Pelodiscus sinensis: one gene and its partner. The protein of the gene in region 2 interacts with the protein of the main gene of each other region in a pairwise test. Links are inferred from orthologs where the notes say so. Each region holds a gene or a part of one and is shown on either strand. Other genes may lie near its edges.

The links.
Region 1: the proteins of NUDT18 (region 2) and HSD17B14 interact in binary tests that used the Homo sapiens proteins (3 or more experiments, as listed by UniProt). The two-hybrid records come from large-scale screens. The link is inferred for Pelodiscus sinensis from reciprocal best matches to the Homo sapiens genes NUDT18 and HSD17B14.

Annotation. Positions count from the first base shown.
Region 1 is NW_027465977.1:63,023-72,558, forward strand, and holds the start of HSD17B14 (L-fucose dehydrogenase), read left to right. Parts: upstream 1-5,954; 5' UTR 5,955-6,057; coding exon 6,058-6,232; intron 6,233-6,308; exon of another isoform or gene 6,309-6,589; intron 6,590-7,567; coding exon 7,568-7,612; intron 7,613-7,894; coding exon 7,895-7,995; intron 7,996-8,338; coding exon 8,339-8,405; intron 8,406-8,620; coding exon 8,621-8,712; intron 8,713-9,103; coding exon 9,104-9,208; intron 9,209-9,458; coding exon 9,459-9,526; intron 9,527-9,536. Other genes in the region: PLEKHA4 (pleckstrin homology domain-containing family A member 4), read left to right, coding at 1,083-1,183, 1,382-1,529, 1,625-1,704, 2,129-2,290, 2,556-2,751, 3,233-3,858. UniProt on the Homo sapiens protein: Catalyzes the NAD(+)-dependent oxidation of L-fucose, yielding L-fucono-1,5-lactone, which rapidly converts spontaneously to L-fucone-1,4-lactone. Can also act on D-arabinose and L-galactose, with lower catalytic efficiency. Does not use NADPH.
Region 2 is NC_134738.1:11,703,690-11,713,589, forward strand, and holds the start of NUDT18 (8-oxo-dGDP phosphatase NUDT18), read left to right. Parts: upstream 1-5,640; 5' UTR 5,641-5,718; intron 5,719-6,829; 5' UTR 6,830-6,831; coding exon 6,832-6,990; intron 6,991-9,900. Other genes in the region: HR (lysine-specific demethylase hairless), read left to right, coding at 118-294, 734-856, 1,506-1,568. UniProt on the Homo sapiens protein: Mediates the hydrolysis of oxidized nucleoside diphosphate derivatives. Hydrolyzes 8-oxo-7,8-dihydroguanine (8-oxo-Gua)-containing deoxyribo- and ribonucleoside diphosphates to the monophosphates. Hydrolyzes 8-oxo-dGDP and 8-oxo-GDP with the same efficiencies.

The DNA of each region.
Region 1 (9,536 bases), on a different chromosome or scaffold from region 2:
GGGCTGCAGGGGTATGGCGGGGGCCCGGGGGGGGTTGGGCTGCAGGGGGTGTGGCGGGGGCCCGGGGGGGGTTGGGCTGCAGGGGGTGTGGCAGGGGCCCGGGGGGGATTGGGCTGCAGGGGGTGTGGCAGGGGCCCGGGGGGGATTGGGCTGCAGGGGGTGTGGCGGGGGCCCGGGGGGGATTGGGCTGCAGGGGGTGTGGCAGGGGCCCCGGGGGGATTGGGCTGCAGGGGGTGTGGCAGGGGCCCGGGGGGGATTGGGCTGCAGGGGGTGTGGCGGGGGCCCGGGGGGGATTGGGCTGCAGGGGGTGTGGCGGGGGCCCGGGGGGAATTGGGCTGCAGGGGGTGTGGCGGGGGCCCGGGGGGGATTGGGCTGCAGGGGGTGTGGCGGGGGCCCGGGGGGAATTGGGCTGCAGGGGGTGTGGCGGGGGCCCGGGGGGGGGATTGGGCTGCAGGGGTATGGCGGGGGCCCGGGGGGGGGATTGGGCTGCAGGGGGTGTGGCGGGGGCCCGGGGGGGGGATTGGGCTGCAGGGAGTGTGGTGGGGGCCCGGGGGGGGGATTGGGCTGCAGGGGTATGATGGGGACCCGGGGGGGGTTGGGCTGCAGGGGTATGGCGGGGGCTCGGGGGGGGGATTGGGCTGCAGGGGGTGTGGCGGGGGCCCGGGGGGGATTGGGCTGCAGGGGGTGTGGTGGGGACCCGGGGGGGGTTGGGCTGCAGGGGTATGGCGGGGGCCCGGGGGGGGGATTGGGCTGCAGGGGTATGGCGGGGGCTCGGGGGGGGGATTGGGCTGCAGGGGGTGTGGCGGGGACCCGGGGGGGGTTGGGCTGCAGGGGGTGTGGCGGGGGCCCGGGGGGGGGATTGGGCTGCAGGGGGTGTGGCGGGGGCCCGGGGGGGGGATTGGGCTGCAGGGGTGTGGCGGGGGCCCGGGGGGGGGATTGGGCTGCAGGGGGTGTGGCGGGGACCCGGGGGGGGTTGGGCTGCAGGGGGGTGTGGTGGGGGCCCGGCGGGGGCCTGGGCTGCAGGGGCTGGGGTGAGAGTCCTGGCAGGGGGGGTCACTGACTCTGTTTTGTCTCCTTTGCAGGCTTCTCTCCGGCTGCCTCCCCCGTTCTGGAGCCTGGGGGGGGCTCAGCCCAGAGCCCCCTCCCAGGGCCGGATGGAAGGAGCCTTGAGCCATCTGCCAGGGTGAGGGGGGGGCTGCACTCCTGGGGGGGGGACCCATCCTTGGGGAGTGGGGACTGGCTGGGGGAAGAACTGGGGGCTGCTGTCAAAGGGGGCCCCAATTCTGACTGTCCTAGCCCAGCCCCCCAGCCCTGCCAGTGCCCCTCCCTCCCACCCCACAGACCCTGGCTCCCCCCCCCCACGTCTCTCTGTTCCCCGCAGGGCGAGGCAGCTGGCGTGAGGGACGAGGTCCCAGCGACGAGGGGGGAGACCTGGGGCTCCCAGCCCCCCCAGGGCCCTTCTAGAAGAGGGGCTGGGTCCCCCGAGCTGGACGGAGGGCCCCCCCTGCAGGAGACAGACGCGGCACCAGGTGCGGTTCCTCCCCCCTTGCCTAGTCTGTCTGGGGAAACATGCACCCCTCTTGTCCCTTCCCCGCCCCTTTAACCCCCTCCCCTGCCCCCACAGGTCTCCACTCGCCTCCAGCCGCCCCCCGCCCAGGCCCCCTGGAGCCCTGGGAGCAGAGAACCGAGGAGCTGCCAGCCAAGGTAGTTGGGCTCCCTCACTCCCCTGGGAGTCGGTGCCTGGGAGCCCAGATGCCTGGGTTATCTCCCCAGAACAGGGAGGGCCCTGGGGTGTAGTGGTTAGAGCGGAGAGGGGAGGGGCTGGGAGCCCAGACGCCTGGGTTCCCTCCCCAGATTGGGGAAGGGGGTGTGGTCTAATGGTTAGAGCGGAGAGGGGAGGGGCTGGGAGCCCAGACGCCTGGGTTCCCTCCCCAGATTGGGGAAGGGGGTGTGGTCTAATGGTTAGAGCGGAGAGGGGAGGGGCTGGGAGCCCGGACGCCTGGGTTCTCTCCCCACATCGGGGAAGGGGGTGGGATCTAATGGTTAGAGCGGGGGGGAGGAGGGGCTGGGAGCCCGGACGCCTGGGTTCCCTGCAGGTGTTTGGTCTGCGATTCTCCCCTTACCCCAGGAGCGTGTGCCAGAACCCCCTGGTCCCCACCGGGCCCGGATGAGCATTGAGGAGCAGCTGGCGAGGATGCGGCGGCACCAGGAAGGGCAGAGGCAGCATGAGGCGGCCAGGCCGACGCCTGGGGCTCCTCGGCCTGGCTCCCTCCGGACCAGCGCCAGCCGGGTGGGTACGCAGCCTGCGGGGGAGGGGCTGCCAGGGGGTGGGGCATGTCCTGAGGCCACACCCACTGTGCCCCCCCAGTCAAGCTCACCTCCGGCCTGCCAGTAGTGCAGGGCCCCTGGGTTCTTTCCAGGTTCGGAGAGGGGAGCGGGGTCTAGTGGTTAGCGTTAGAGGTGTGTGCCTGGGTTAGGACATGGGCGGGGGGCGGGGCGGACACGCTGAACTGCTTAGATTCCCTCCCTTCACTCCGCCTTCCAAAATTCTCCAGTTCCGCCTTCCAGCTCCCCCTCCCAGCCTCGGGCCGGAGCCAAGCCTGACCGACATGGACGTACCAGTGAGGGGGGGGCAGACCAAGGGACACTGGGGCGGGCCTTCCCTACCCCCCGAGAGAGACCGTCACCGGATCAGGAGCCTGGCATACGCGCTGGCCACCGAGGCCTCTGAGCGCAGCAAACTCATCACAGGTAACAGGGCTGGGGGCCTGGACACTCGGGGGGCGGGGGGGCGGGGTCTAGTGGGCAGAGCAGGGGGCTGGGAACCAGGATGCCCGAGTTTTACCCCCCCCTTTAGGGGCCTCTTTCTAGACCCCCTCCCCTCCCCTCCCCTCCCCTCCCAACGGGAAAACAGCTAAACAAACACAGTGGAAAATGGCTGGAATCTGGTTCAGCTGTTGGGGGAATTTCTGGCTCCGGCTGGCAGGTCCCTGGGGTAGGAACAGCTGGGGGGTGGGGGAGAGTCTGGGGCAGGGGGTGGGGCTGGGCAAGGGGCCCATTTCTCTTTAATTCACTGAAGATCTGAAGGGGTTGCCTCATGCCCAGCCCCGTGCCCCACCCCAGAGGTGGCTGCATCTCCATGCTGGGTGAGGGGTCGCCTATACCCAGCCCCCCCCACCCCAGAGGTCTCGGCTTTGGGGGGGGGTGACTCTGGTTTCCTCTCTCTGTGCAGGGAAGCCCCCGCCTGAACCCCAGCGGGAGGGCTGTGACCCCCGTCTGAACCCCTCCCCAGAGTCGCTGCATGCAGTGACCAATCAGCACTTACCGCTTACCATGATAGCCTCCAGGGAAGACCCAGGGGCCAATCACGTCGTGACTAAACCGTGCAGCCCGGCCAATCAGAAGACGGCATTTACCGCCCAATCCGTGCAGCGGGCAGAATCAGCCAATCAGGCATCGCCTCTAAATCAAGCGGCCAATTGGGCATCGTCTGTTTCTGAGTTTTCTCACTGGTTGTCCGCCTCGCCAGATGCAGCCAATCAGGCCTCGTGTCTGTCGGAGGCAGCCAATCGGGCATCGCCACTGCCGGACACATCGCATTGGGCAGCCCCGTTGCCTGAATTGGCCAATGGGACGTCGACTGTACACAAGGCATCCAGTCGGGCGTTGCCTCCGCTCTGGGCCTCCCAAAAGGATTGTGGGAATTGGGTGCTGGAGCAAAGGATTGTGGGTCACAAAGGCTTGGCCAATGGCAGGTGCCAGGGGCAGGGTGCGCATGCCCCACCCAGCCAGGTGGTGGCGTACCTGTGCGAGGGGAGCCAGCCAATCAGGATAACCCTGCTGCAATCCAGCTTCTAACCCATTGGCTCAGAGGCAGGGTCAAGTCCCGCCCCTTCTCTGCATCATCGGGGGGGGGGGCTATATATGGGGATGTGCCCAAAGGGGAGGTGGGGCTGGGACCCAGGGTCAAAGGTCAGACTGGGGACTCCCTAACCCAGTCACCAACCAGTTGATCTTGGGATCCTGACTGGTTTGGCCGGGAAGCTCTCAAGCGCTGCCCCTCTGCCCCACGGTCCTGCTGCTCCTGCCCTCTGCCTTAGAGCTGCCCCCCAGAGCCTCCTGCTCGCTGTGCAGGGTGTGGGGCGGGCAAGGGGGGGCGCTGATGTCAGGGTGTCTCCCCTCTCCCCCACTTCTGTATCCCATCTCCACACAGAGAGAAGGGGATGGAGGGAGCGTGGCAAGGCAGATCTCACACTGTGTGTGTGTCCGTCTCTGTCTCACCCCCCCCCCCCCGTCCTTCCCTCTCCTCTCCCCACCCAACACACACGTGGGGGGTTGTTACTTTTCCTGCTTGCAAAGTGGGTTCCTTTCGGTTTGGGACAGCTCCGTGCGTGTCATCGTTTTCGTTTCTCTAGCGCGTCAGTGTCATTCTTTGGGCCGTGAGTTCTAAACTGCCGCACCTGCCGTGGCCGGAGTCACCAGCCCCGTGGCCATTGCTGCTGGTGGAGATGGTCCCATGTCCCTGCAGCCCCTGAGGGAGGCAGAGCAGGGGGACTCCACATGCCGACCCCGCTCCTACAGCTCCCACTGATCAGTAACGGGGAACCGAGGCCAGTGGATGCTGTGGGCTCAGTGCCGGTAGAGGAGGGGCAGCACATGGCGCCACGGAGCTGTTGCTGAGCTGCCAGCTGCTTTCAGGAGCGGGGCGGGGGCAGGGTGGACGTCAGCTGCCTTAACCCCCCTGCCCCACCCAGCGGAAACCGCCAGAGTCTGCTCCCTGAACCCCTGTCCCTGCCCCGAACCTTCTCCTGCCCCAGACGTGAGTCCCCCTGCACCCAAATTCCTTCCCAGAACTTGCACCCTGAACCCCCCCGGACCCCGATCCCCCGCCCTTGGCTGAGCCCGGAGCCCCCCCCATGCCAAACCCCTTGGCCCAAGACCAGACCCTGCACCCCAACCCCCTACCCCAGCCTGTGTGAGTAAGTGAGGGTGGGGGAGGAGAAAGGGGCCTCAGAGAAGGGGCGGGGGAAGGGTATGTGGGGGTGACATTGCCCCTCCATCGAACAGGTGACCTTGGGGTTAAAAAGGCTGGAGACCCCTGCCCTAGCCCCATGCAGGGTCCCAGCATCTTGCTGCCCTCTGGTGGGCAGATTGGGAAGTGCACTCCCTGAACCCTCTTCTAGTCCAGCCCCCCACCAGCTCTGCCAGTGCCCCTCACAACCGCCCTGCAGCCCCTGCCCTAGGCTCCCTCCCAACACCCACCCTACAGGAGCTGCAGCGAAGGGGCCAGTCAGGGGCCAGTGGGAAGGGGGATTTGTGGGGTACTGGATGGTCCTCTGCCCCCCACCTGGGCTTTGGGGCCAGCAGATTTCAGCCACAGTCCCAATGCAGCTGGAGTCAGAGACGTGGGAACCTGCTAATTGCTGACAGCCTGCACTCTCCCCACTGCCAGGGGCTTTCTCTTTGGGCGGGGCGAGGGGTCCTTGTGTACCCAGCCCCCGCCCTACTGCAGTGGGGCCCTGGCCCAGCGCCAGTCAAGGGGCCCCTGTCAGTGTTCCCCCTAATCTTTTCCATCTATGTGTGGAATAAATTTTATGTGTACCAATGCATGTGCGGATGTGCACCACCTGTGCGGAAGAAATGTGCGTACCGAAGCATGTGCGGACGTGCACCGCCTGTGCAAACAAAACTGAGCTGTGGGCGCTCTGCCAACCTGCTCGGCTGCAGCTGACTCTCCCCTGGATGGCCGCCCAAGCGCTCAGCTTACAGGGCACACCGGTCCCTGGATACCCAGAACCCCACCCCAGGGGCAGCTGGGAACTCAGCCTCGATTTCCCCTGGACCCTCGGGGCGTTCGTGGGGGCACATCGCAGACAAATGTACTCAATAAATCTCATTTATGTTGCCCTTGTTGAGCCCTTGAATCTCTGAAACTTTATTGCCCAGACAAATCCCCTGCCCCCCATAGCCAGCCAGGCCCTGCCCTGTGGCCGGGTGGGAGCGGCCCCCTAGAGGGAGGATGCCCCGCCCCCGCCGGACAGGACTACATTTCCCAGGATGCACCGCCCCTCATGTGCCCTGCGGGCAGCAGCTTCCCTTTTTCCCTCGCCCCGAGCAGCTGCGAGCCCGGGTGCGCCCAGCACCATGGCCTCGGGGCTGCGCTACCCGGGCCGGGTGGCCATTGTCACCGGGGGCAGCCGCGGCATCGGCGCGGCCATCGTGAAGGAGTTTGGTGCGGGGGGACCTGCAGGGGGGCTGGGGGCATTGCGGGGGGGGGGGCGCTTCTGGGGCCAGGGGCTTGCGGGGGGGGGCGCTTCTGGGGCAAGGGGCTTGCGGGGGGGGGCTGCAGCGGGGTGAGGAAGCTTGGGGAAGGGGGGGCAGTAGGGGGGCGGAGGCGGCCGTGGGGGAGCAGAGCCCTGCGGAGGGGATCAGGGGAGATTTGTGGGGGGCTGGGACATTGCAAGAGGGTGGATGTGGGGCTCCTGGGGGGCTGGGAGTGGGGGGCAGACTCCAAGGTTGGGCTGCGTCTGGCATCTTCGTGGACTTTGTCTGTCTGTCCCGTGTCCATCTATTCGGCCGGTCGCTGACCCTGGGAGATGGGGGGAGGGGCCATGGGTGAAGAACGCGGCAGCGAACCCCCTGCAGCCCCCAAACTCCGCTGCTAACGGGGAGACTGGACTTATTGGGGGGGTCTTCCCCTTCCTTCCCCTCCTCCCTCCCCCTCCCCCTCCCCCTCCATCCCCTTGTTCAGTGGAGACGTGGGGGGGACGAGTTGAGATTAATGTATCTTGAGATGTGTGGGGCTGGCCAGCAGGGGTCAGCAGAGCTGCATCGTCTCCCACGGGCACTGCTGTGAGGAAGCTCGCAGCACCACGCGGGACGTTCCCATCTAGGGCCACTGCTGGGAGGAAGTTCAAATTCCTGGGTGAAGGGGGGCGTGTCCCTGTCTGGGGGCACTGCTGGGGGGAAGCTCGCAGCACCAGGGGGAAGTTCCAGTCTAGGGGCACTGTTGGGGGGGAAGTTCACATTCCTGGGTGAAGGGGGGCGTGTCCCTGTCTGGGGGCACTGCTGGGGGGAAGCTCGCAGCACCAGGGGGAAGTTCCCATCTAGGGGCACTGCTGGGGGGAAGTTCACATTCCTGGGTGAAGGGGGGCGTGTCCCTGTCTGGGGGCACTGCTGGGGGGAAGCTCGCAGCACCAGGGGGAAGTTCCCGTCTAGGGGCACTGTTGGGGGGAAGTTCACATTCCTGGGTGAAGGGGGGGCGTGTCCCTGTCTGGGGGCACTGCTGGGGGGAAGCTCGCAGCACCAGGGGGAAGTTCCCGTCTAGGGGCACTGCTGGGGGGAAGTTCACGTTGCTCTGTGTGTGTCCCGGTCTGGGGGCACTGCTATGGGGAAGCTCGCAGCACCAGGGGGAAGTTCCTGTCTAGGGGCACTGCTATGGGGAAGCTCGCAGCGCTTGGGGATTTACTGGTGCTGGTGTTTTTACTGCTAACTTGATTCTCTCATCTCCCTCCCCCATGTGCTTCTCCATCCCCTGTTGCACCCCGCTTTGTCCCCTCCCCCCCAGTTCGGCAGGGAGCCAATGTGGTCTTCTGTGCCCCCCAAGCTGAAGGTGAGAGATTGCTCCCTGTGTTTCTGGGGGTGAGGGACGTAAAATCCCGTTTAATTGGTTAACCATTCACATCCCTACTGGGACCCCTGTGGCCGAAGTTGGCAGCCTGGGGGGGTGGGGGGGAGGGACTAGTCTCCTTGTGCTGATGGGGGAGGGGGAGAATAGTTCTCTCTCGGCTCCCGAAATCCGTCCTCCTGCCAGAACCGGTTCCCCCCCCTTTCCTGGATAGTCTCCCCACCCCATGTTTGGTGTCTGTGCTCCATAGCCCCCTTTCCCTTGCAGAGGCCATGGGGCGGGCCCTGGAGCAGGAGCTGCAGGAAGCGGGGGGCCCTGGAGAGCCCCATTTCCAGCCCTGTGATGTCACCAGCGAAGAGGAGATCCAGGTGGGTGGGGGAAGTGGTACGGGGGGGGGGGTCTGCTCCAGGGTGGGGGAGGGGCAGATGCAGCAAGTGTATATTACTCTCTGTGCTTTCTGTGGGGGGATGGGCAATACTGGGGGGGGGGGAACCTCAGCTTGGGGCCCAGTGGGTCAAATTCCCCCCACCTGTGTCCTGCTCTGGACCCCCAATTCCTTCTTCCCCATCCCCACACCCATCTCCCTGCTCCCCCCACCTCCATCTCTGCCCCCACCTTGCCCGATTCCCCCACATCCTCCCTCCCCTCCCACACCCAGCCTCTTGCTCCCCTTGCCCCCCGCAACCCCCCACCCGTTCTCCTGCCCCCCAGGCGCTGATCGCGGTGACCTTGAAGCGCTACGGCCGTATCGACTGCCTGGTGAACAACGCCGGCCGCCGTGAGTGGCCCCCCCCATTGGGGGACAGGAGGGGGGGCCCCTGGGGCAGCCCGGGAGTGTGGGGGGAACCCCTGAGCTGGGGGGCTCAAGGGCCATAAAGGGGTGTCATGGGGGGCCCCGCGGACTTGACGGAAGGGGAAATGGGGATCCCAAGTCTGAGTCGGGAGGGGAGGGGGTTTGGGGCCGGAGTCCCACTTTTCACCCCCCACCCGCAGATCCTCCTGAGGAGCAAATTGACGACGTCACCGCCCAGCATTTCCGGGCCCTTCTCGACCTCAACCTGGTCGGCTACTTCCTGATGGCAAAGGTGAGAGTTGCCCCCACCCTGGGAGGGGCTCCCAGAAACCCAGGCCCCTTGCCCCACCCCAGAGCCAGCTGCATCCCAGGGCTAGGGAGGGGCTCCTGTATAGCGAGGCCCCGTGCTCCACCCCAGAGCTGGGGGGGGGGTTCCTGTAATCCCAGCCCCCAGCTCCCACCCCAGAACCAGCTGCATCCCAGGGCTAGGGAGGGGCTCCTGTATACCGAGGCCCCGTGCTCCACCCCAGAGCCGGGGGGGGGGGGGTTCCTGTAATCCCAGCTCCCACCCCAGAGCCAGCTGCATCCCAGGGCCCGGGAGGGGTTCTAATGTGCCCGTCCCCAGTGCCGTGCCCCAGAAGCAGCTGCCTCTCCCCCACCTGTCTCTCACGTCTCTGGTGCAGTCCGCCCTGCCCTCTCTACGGGAGACCCGAGGCAACATCATCAACATCTCCAGTCTCGTGGGCATCATCGGACAGAGGCAGGCGGTTCCCTACGTCGCCACCAAGGTACGGGTAGACTCAGGGGAGTCCTGGCCCCTGCCCCCCTTGCTCTAACCACTAGCCCCCACTCCCCTCCCGGAGGAGGAGGAGAACCCAGCTGTCCTGTGCCTGTAGCTATTGCTGAGCAGACCGTTTGGTGGGGAGGGGGGGGTCACTCAGCACAGACCCATCCCCCCACCTGGGATCTGGTGTTTCGCAGGGGGGAGCGGGAGGGGCGGAGTCCCTGACAGCCCCTCGATCTGGAGTCTGTCCCCAGGGCGCGGTGACAGCAATGACGAAGGCCATGGCGGTGGACGAGAGCAGATATGGGGTGCGAGTTAACAGGTATCTTGGA
Region 2 (9,900 bases):
TCTGTTCTTAGCACTGCACCCAGGATCTAGTGGGCACGTGCCCCGCCCAGCCCTGAGGTCTCTCAGCTGAGACCTGCCACACTCATCTCATGTCAGCTGCCCCCTTTCCCCTGGCAGGTGTGTAAAGCCTCAGGGCAGGACGGGGGAGAGCAGCTGGATCCGAGCGGCCGCGGGAGCTGCTACCTGGACGCGTCTCTGCGCCGGAGGCTGCGGGAGGAGTGTGGTGTGAGCGGCTGGACCCTGCTCCAGTTCCTGGGCGATGCCGTGCTGGTGCCGACGGGTGCGCCCCACCAGGTCAGGAGCCCAGCTCTGGTGCACGTTAGCCCTTGCCAACGGGCTGGGGATCGGGTGCTGCCCCCTTTGACCCTAGCCAGGGGGTCCTCTAGGAACATCTTGCATGTCTCGCCAGGAGTGCGCCAAGCACGTGACAAAGCGTCATTATCGCCGTTTGGCAGTTGGGGAAACTGAGGCACGGCGCGTGACAGCGACTTGCCCGAGGTCACCCAGCAACAGCGTTGGGAGTTGAACCCCAGTCTCCTAAGTCCCAGGACCCTATCCCCTGGGCCGTGCGACCTCCTAGGATGCCTTTTATCCATGCATTAATCAGCAAGCGCAAGGAAGCACCTTTCCCCTGCCTGGGCACCTGCTCTCTCCTCCGGCAGGATGGGGCCTTCCCCTTCTGATGCTTCCCCTGGGGCTCCCTCATGCGCTCTCCCCCCCCCCCCCCCGGCAGGTGCAGAGCCTCAGCAGCATCATCAGCGTCACACAGCGATTCCTGTCGCCAGAGAACGCCGCCCGCTCGGCCCGGCTCGTGGCCACGGACCCTGCCGGCATTGCACAGAGACTTCATGCACAGGTCAGGGGCTAACCTCCCCGCACAACCCCTCCCATCTCTCACAGGGGGGTGCCTGGCTCAGCTGGGTAGGGTCAGGAATAACTGTCCGAGCAGCTGTCTCAAGCTAAGCAGAATCCAGCCCGGTCAGCATGTGAATGGCAGAGACCAGCTGTTGGCGATTCGCTCTGAATCCAGGGTTCTAGGGGCCAACCAGGGTGCTGAAAACAGAGAGGGCCGGCCTGAGATACCAATGTGATTTTTGCAGGGGTCCAACTATGAACCTGGCCTCTGGCATGTCCAATGGGGTTACAACACTCTGCTTCCTTCCAACCCCCCCGGCAGTTTCAGGTGTAAATGGGGTTGCTCTTTGCTTCCTGTTGTGCCGCGCTGATGTCCGTCAGCGGTTGTGTTCTGCCCCAGAGCTGGCTGCATTTTGGTCTGAGGCGAAGCAGCGTCTCTGATCGTGCCTGGCTTGGCTCTGGTGTGGGTCCGTCGATTTCAGCTCCGCTCCTCCTGCTTCCCACGGCCGGGAGTGGAGGGAGAGTCGGGCCCGTTGCAGGCAAAGTGCCGCAGGGTGCTTCGAGCTGCCGTGCTCGATAGAAATGGAAGGGGTGATGGGGATGCCCCAAGGAGCGTGTGCACCAGTGTCTGAACCCCCCTTCTCTTGCAGATGGACAGCCTGGTGTACGGTGCTGTGCGGGAGGCAGTGGGAACCCTGCAGGGCTACAATTAAGGCACTAGCAGACGTGCAGCGCGGAAAGCCAGGCTGGCTTCGGACCAGGGCTCCAGGAGACAGAAGTGAGGCGAAGGGGGCTCAGGATTCCTGGGGAGCCACAGCTGCCCGTCGGGACGGGGAGTGGCTCTTTGGTGCTGGCTCAGACAGGCCGGGGCTGTCAGGCTGACGTGACCAGAGCGCGGGGTCCCAAGAGGAAGGTCTCTCGGACAACACGGAGCCCAAGCACGCTCGGGCCCCGCTGCTGCCTGGAGCACCGGGAAGGGCAGCAGCTGTGACGTGAGCAGGCAGGGCGGGATGAGCCGCCTGTGAGCCCGTCCTGGGCCGTGGCCCCCGGCATGTTCCACGCGGCCCCGGCCTGGAGCCCTCGGCGGATCGGACAGCCTGCCAGCTGCGTGGGGGTCCCTGGCCGCCATTCTGCACTGAGCGCTCATCCGGCAGGGCCCGGCTCGCCGGACGTCACCCCGGTGCTCGCTCCGACGGCGCCCGCCCACCCCGGCGTTGTCACGTTTGGTGCTTCCTTCGGTGATGTCACGCCCCGGGGCTCGCGCTGCAGCAGGGATGCTGGCAGGGCGCTGTCCCCGCAGACGCTCTCAGGGGGGCCACGGGGCACCAAGGAAATAAACGGCTGAGACGAGTCTCTGCGGAGACACGGCCGACGTCACGTGCAGAGTCCGTGTCTGTTGAATTCTCTCTCCCGCTCTCCCCTTTGCAGGCGGCTTGGGGCAGGGCAGGAGGAGTGAGGGTCTAACCATGGGCACTGGATCCGAGCCAGCAGCCAGCAACGCTTGAGACCCAGATCTCGCTCGGCCTTCCCCACCTCTCCCTGGTCCCCGCTGCCGGCTGCCTGAGAATCCACACCATGGCTGGGCATTAAAACTGGGGCAGTGGGTATCCTGGGCCCTGCCAGTGTGGGAAGCTTGGTTAGGGGGGTAGTGAGCTGTGGGAGGGGGGCGTTTCTGAGGGGTTTGTCTATTGGGAGCAGCCCCCCACTCTTCCAGCTGGCCCCCTGGATTCTCTCTCCAGGCCCGGGAGATCCCAGCAGGCAGACTGGCGTGACCCCTTTCCGATCTCACCGGGGGCTGCAGGAGGTGACCCCGCAGCCCTCTGGTTTATTCCGCTCTCCTGCCTGCGCCCCTCCGGGCTGCACTCTCATTGCTGGGCACGGGGGCTGAGCGAGCTAAGTGGGGTGAGATCGGGCAGCAGCCGCCCAGCCTGCTGGACGGATGGTCCCTCCCCGCAGGCGTAACGAAGGCAGGAGGCGGGGGCTCATGCCCTCGGATGTCACCGCCCAAGGAGAGCACATATCTGGGCTCTCCCTGGAGCTTGGGGACCAGAGCGGAAATGGGGCAAGGCCTGGAGTCCCCAGGCGGCTGTGGCTTGGGGGTACGTTTGCCCCAGTCCATTATTACAAGGGACGTCCCTTATTTTTCATCTCTGGGCGACACGCTCGGGTTGCCGAGCGCTGCTCCAAGCAGCGAGATACCCCGGGAAGCGTGGTGCTGCTCATAACAATGATTGATCCTCAGAGGAAGGGTGGGGCAGGGTGCTAAGAAACCAATCCCTTCGTTTTGAATTGCAAAGTTGGCGACCCTGCTTGAGGTGGGAAGCTGCACCGGGAGGGCGGGAGGCTACCCGGCCCTGCCTCGGTTTCCCTATCTGTCACACGCCCAGGCAGCCCCAGCTTGGGCAAAGCAACAGAGCCGCTCTCCTCCTGCAGCGCCCGTGCCTTGCCGGAGGGCCTGTTCCCATCTGTTCTCTGCTGCACCAGTCGGTAGAGATGCCCCCTCTCTCCACAGACCAGGGCCACCCTCCCCACGCAGGACCCGGGCGGCTGCTTAGCGCTTTCTGAAGGTCGTGCCGGGCGTGAGGCTGCTCTGCTGGTGCAGGCGTGGGACGGGGCTGGTCGGCTTAGAACGCCCTCCCCGACCCAAGCTCGCGGCTGTGCCCGTTAACGCGAGTCAGGGCCTCCACCCAGGCACCGAGGAGCTGGTCGCGTAGGCAGCAGGGGCGTGACACTCGCTCGGCTGCCCTCCTGCCTGTTGGCACCGTGTGGGGTGCCCCAGTGGGACGATGCTGAGACGTCGCCGGGGGAGTGGGGGGAGCCTGGCGTTTGCTGCACCTCCCAGTGTGGGGCGGATCACTGTGCTCAGGCTGTATTTGGTGCCGCACATCCTGGGCTTGGCCTCACCCCCGGCACTGACTCGGGATTCGGCGCGTGCCTGGATGATGTTGCACCAGGGCTGTGTTCTGGGCCCCGTGGCTCAGGGCTCGTTTGGCCGCGATCACCCAGAAGCTTTGCCCTGTGGTCCCTGTGCTGACCCCGGGACGCCTGCACTTGGAGCCCGGCCTCTCCACAGCAATGCCCATAATTCTCTGCCCAAAACACTCCCCTTGTGAGGGTCCATTTCCCATGGCCATGAACCCGTATCACAGATGGGGCTTTCGGTGGGCAGCCCCTGGGACAGGATGGTGCATTCTGGCGAGAGCAACAAGCGAGGCCCTCAGGGCTGTGGGAGGGAAGCGGTGTCTAGTGGTCAGAGCGGGGGTGGGGGGCCTGCCTGGGAGTCAGGGCTCAGCTCTGATGTCTACCTCGTGGGATGAGTGTTGTGTAGTGAGCAGAGCCGGGGCTGGGCTCGGAGTCAGAAGCTCTGGGCTCTGGTCCCATTTCTCCCCGACCGGGTGGGGTCAGCAATCCTGAGCAGCCTCCCGGAGGGCGAACCCACTGATGTCTGCGAAGCACTTGGAGATCTTGGACCAGGAAGGGCTGGCCTGGGGCCCATGTCAGATTTCCCCGTCTGCTGCGCCGGACATGGGGCCCCTGGACAATGCTTCACAGAGCCTGCCCTGTCCGTCCTGTCTGCCAAGCCAGACTCACAGCCTTTGGGAGCTCAGAGAGGATGGGGGAATCCCGTCTCTCCTCCCTGTTCTTGCAGGCCACTCCAGGGCTCCTTCCAGCGCTCGACTCCGCCTGCAAGTCAGGCGCTGCGGCTCCTCCGCACCCGCAGCCCGCCAGCTAAAAGAAACGGCCCCGGTTCCGCCCTGCAGATGAGTGAGAGCTGAGAGTTTAGCCGGCCAGGCAGGGTCAGCCCGGGTCAGGGAGGGATCAAGCAGCCAATCCCCACAGATTAAGAGCCGGTCATTTCAGGCTGCTGTGAATTAGACCCTGTCAAGTGAGGCGCTGGGGTAAGTTTAGACCAGATGCTCCGCTTGGCTGCTGGCCAGCTGAACGCTGCTCTGCTTGGCTGGGCCACACGCTCTCCCTGCTTTCCACAGGCCTCTCCCGTCGCTTGTGACTCTGGGTGGGAGGCCAGATAGTTCCCTTTTTCCAGGAGACAAAGACACCCTTTGAGTGAGCAAAAAGCCTCCGAAACTCTCCCGGCTCCAGGCATTGGAGGGGGGTGTCCAGGGTTCAGGGAGCTTCCCCTACGAGGTGGATACATCAAACCCAGCCCTGCGTGGAACCCCGTCGCTGCCTGCAGCTAGTCAGTGCCATGAGTTTGATGGGGCTCAGGCCAGTTCCCGCTCATGATTGATGGGGTTCCCCCAGCGCCTAGGCACCCGTCCTGGCTCAGGACCAGTGTTCCCCGTAAGCCGAGTGCTTGGGCAGCCGCCCGGGAGAGATTCAAATGCCGCCCAGCGGAGTAGCAGAGCACCCCCAGCCGGCAGCCTGGGTTTCTACCTACGGAGCACGTCCGCACATGCCTCGGTGCACGGAACAAAACTTATTCCACACATGGATGGAAAAAATGAGGGGCTGGCATTGCCCTCTAATACCCCGGGGGGGGGGGCTGGCACTGGCCCCAATGCCCCGGGGGGGGGCTGGCACTGGCCCCTAATACCCCGGGGGGGGGGGCTGGCACTGCTGGGTGACCCCGCCGCCCTATGGCAGGGGTCCAGGGTGCCCCCCCCTCCACGTCGCTACGGAGGTGCCCAGAGCAGGACATCGCGAGCCCTTGGAGGGGGGTGGGGGGGTGACGCGGCCCCTTTAAGAAGAGGCTCCTCCTCCCCGCCTGGGCCGGCTGAGTGACCGCCCCTCCTGCCCAATGGAAGGGGAGGGGCGGGCCCCAGCCGGCCAATGGCAGCTGAGCGTTGCCAGCCTCTTCCGGGGTGGGAGGGGAAGGGAGCGGAGGCCGCCGGGGAAAGTGGAGTAAGTGGGGGGGAGCCAGGGGGGCTCCCGACTCCTCCTGCCTCAGTCCCCGGGGCCCGGCCCCGCCCCCTGCCCGGGCCCCCCAGCTCGGGGGGGTCCCCATTGTCTCCCCAGCCCCCCCCCGCTCTAGGGGCCCCCCAGCCCCCCATTGTCTCCCCAGCCCCCCCCCCGCTCTAGGGGCCCCCCAGCCCCCCATTGTCTCCCCAGCCCCCCCCGCTCTAGGGGCCCCCCAGCCCCCCATTGTCTCCCCAGCCCCCCCCGCTCTAGGGGCCCCCCAGCCCCCCATTGTCTCCCCAGCCCCCCCCCCCGCTCTAGGGGCCCCCCAGCCCCCCCATTGTCTCCCCAGCCCCCCCGCTCTAGGGGCCCCCCGCCCCCCCATTGTCTCCCCAGCCCCCCCCCGCTCTAGGGGCCCCCCGCCCCCCCATTGTCTCCCCAGCCCCCCCGCTCTAGGGGCCCCCGCCCCCCCCATTGTCTCCCCAGCCCCCCCGCTCTAGGGGCCCCCCGCCCCCCCATTGTCTCCCCAGCCCCCCCGCTCTAGGGGCCCCCCAGCCCCCCCATTGTCTCCCCAGCCCCCCCCGCTCTAGGGGCCCCCCCGCCCCCCCATTGTCTCCCCAGCCCCCCCCGCTCTAGGGGGACCCCCAGCCCCCCCATTGTCTCCCCAGCCCCCCCCCGCTCTAGGGGCCCCCCAGCCACCCCATTGTCTCCCCAGCCCCCCCCCGCTCTAGGGGCCCCCCAGCCCCCCCATTGTCTCCCCAGCTCTGGGGGGGGTCCCCCAGCCCGTTCCTGCCCCTTAAGCCCCAGCTCTCAGAGCCCCCCCTTTTTCTTGCTGACCCCCATGAGAGATGGGGGGGTGCAAGGGGGCGGGGCTATTTGGGGCTCAACCCCCCCCATCCCAGCTGGCCCCAGTGCGCTGGAGCCTTTGCTCCCCCGCCCCCCCATGACCCCCTTCCTGGTGTGGAGTATTGGGGTGCAGGAAGACAGCTGCCCCCCCCAGCATCTGTACCCCTTGGGCCCCCCCATTTCAAGGGCGCTCAGGTCACCCTGCTCCCGTCCCCACAGCCCCCTGGTCCCTCCTGGTGTCTGACCCGTGGGGGGGGTTGGGGTGTTGCAGCCATGGCCTCCGGGGCTCCGGCGGAGGAGCTGGACGCCGTGCTGAGTGGCAGAGGCTGGGAGGTGCAGGAGCGGTATGACTCGGCCCCCGCGCCCGCTCACCCTGTCAGAGTGCGGAAGACCGTCTGCTACATCGTTTTGGCCGTCCTGCTGAACGACCAGGTGAGGGAGCCCCACGGCGCTAGCTACGGCTTGGGGTTCTCCTATGGTGCCCATCACCGTGGCATCGAGTCGCTGCAGGGTGAACGTCCACAGTCCAGAAAGTGCAGCACATCCGGCTCCTTTCAAGCTGTCTCAGTTTGGGTCCCCCGAATCACTGGCCACTCTTGGAAATCTTGGCCTGTGTTTTTAAATTAACTAGCACTTTGTTTCAAGGCACTTTTACAAAGGTGAGGGAAGTAGTCTCTGCACATTACCTCTGGGGAAACCGAGGCGCACAGAGAGGTGAGATGATGTGCCCAACATCACAGTGGGTCAGTAGCACAACATGGAGTGAGACCCAACTTCTTTGCGTGTGTTACTAACAACTCAATCGAACAAAGCTCCAACAACGAAGGCACTAGACTAGTAACTTTTGATGGTATAGCGTCATCTGCTAGATGTGTGATTTCTTTTTTTGGCTGGGATGGGTTGTTTTAAATGAGTAATCAGGAAACCTTGATTTAAAGAATAGATTTTAATATAATTGTGCATTTGTATGTTTTAGTCACTTTCAAAAGGTTGAGTCTCATTGGTTGGTGAAGATGAAAACATTGATTTGCAGCTAAATACAGTCTTTAAATAAACATGATTCTTTTTGCTACCCTGGAGAATATTTGTTTTAACAATTCTGTAGCGTAACATACCTCTTAGGGTTGTCAGTTAATGCGCATTAATGCCTCTGATTAATGCAGAGCAGAATTAACGTGTTAATCGTTTAAACATGCATTAATCTCAGGTGTTTCCACGGCGCTGCCTCTTTGAAATGCCACGGCTGCGTTTCAAAGGGGCAGAACAAGTGGAGCCCAGGATAAGCTGTGTGGCGCTGCCCCGAGCCCACAGTCAGCTGTGCGGTGCTGACCCTTTGAAAAACTGCCGCGGAATTTCAAAGGGGCAGCGCTGCATGAAGCCCAGGGTCAGCTGGGGATTCCAGCTGATCCTGGACTCCCATGGTGCTGCCCCTTTAAATGCCCCTTTGGAACACCACAGCAGAATTTCAAAGGGGCAGCGCACCATGGAGCCCGGGATCAGCTGGAGTCTTCTTATTGTTTAACAGCGCGATTAATCGCGATTAATTTTTTAAATCTCTTGACAGAACTAATACCTTTAGAAGTGGGTCTTTGCCCACGAAAGCTTATGCTCCAACACTTTGGTTAGTCTATAAGGTGCCACAGGACTCCTCGCCGCTTTTGCAGATTCAGACTAACACGGCTACACGTCTGATACTCAATACCTTTATTGAAATTCTTAATTCTTTTCAGCTGAACATTGACTTCATTCAGCTATGGAACTTTACTGTGCTGAAAAAAATAGTTTTTGTAACCATTGTAGCTTAAATGAAACAAGCAAAGACAGTTTCCTTTGTCAAATCTTTTTAAAAGTGTTCTTTATCTTTGTAGTGGTTGATGTTTAACGCAGTACCATACTGGGGTTGCTTTTTTTATTTGTTTCTCTCTGTTGCTGTCTGTGTATTCAAGTTCCAAACGAGGTGCATGGTCAACACTGAGGTTCTATTGTACTAGAAAGTGTTTTTCAACAACTGGGTCCAGTCCCCGAGGTACAATTGAGAAGCAGCAAGCCGGTCCCTCACATCAAAAAAGATTAGAAATGATGTCCCAGTTGATTTGATTTTGTTGCTTGTAATTTGTGTCAAGCTCTGTTTGGACAGAAATTGGAATTCACGTACAAACACACAAAAAAGCATTTTGTAATTTTTTTGGTTAGTTACATAAAACTTCCTTAAATGAGTTGGTTACAGAATTGGGGGGAGGGGGAGAGAATATCAAAACATAATTTTGTATTTCAAATCAGCTAATTTAGTGAACAAAGGAATATCTGTTAATTAACCAAAGTGATCTTTTTCGGGTCCCACTTCCTTTTGAATTTGTAGCTTTCTTCTGCACACCTAGGCTACGTCTAGACTGGCATGATTTTCCATTAAAAGCATTTGCGGACAAGAGTGTCCAGATTGGCACGGACACTTTTCCACAAAAGCACTTTTTGCGGAAAAGCATCCGTGCCAGTCTAGACGTGCTTTTGCGCAAAAAAGCCCCGATGGCCATTTTCGCGATCGGGGCTTTTTTGCTCAGAACAAATCTGAGCTGTCTACACTGGCCCTTTAGCGCAAAAGGACTTTTGCCCGAATGGGAGCAGCATAGTATTTCCGCAAGAAGCACTGATTTCTTACATGAGATCGTCAGTGTTCTTGCGGAAATTCAAGTGGCCAGTGTAGACAGCTGGAAATTTTTCCGCAAAAGCAGCTGCTTTTGTGGAAAAACTTGCCAGTCTAGACACAGCCCTAGAGTGTATTCCTAGATTGGATAGGGGAAAAGAAGTTGTCATACTCTGAGCACTCCTGGTTGGTTTCTTCACTTTAAGCTTTGAACTGTAGTCAGTGACTTATTTTCAATTTTAATTAAAGATTATCAAAAGCTAGGTTAGAATATCAGCAAACTCTGGTTGCAGTTGCTTAACCAATGACTTTCCGTAGTTTGACTTCGTTTTAAAGCATGGCAGCAAACTTGTAATACCTAATGCGGTTTTTAATTTAATTGATTTTTTTAAGAGCAAAGGAAGACTAGGCCTTTTATTTTAGGTCATCATGATTTCATATTACATTTTTTATTGAGGTTTATCGTTAAAAAGAAATGTATGTAAGTTAAAATCTCATTTAAATGTCTCATTTTTTTCATTTTATTTTTCTAATCAATTTTATTCCCCTTGGTTTTTGCAGCATTTCTGTGGGCAGACGCCCTAATGTAAATGCAGATTATCCTGGGCAAAGAGTCCTTTTGCCTTCTTTTGCTGACAGCAAACACACAAACTGTGCAAGCAAAAGCACGTTTTTTGCCAGGATAATCGGCATCTCCACTA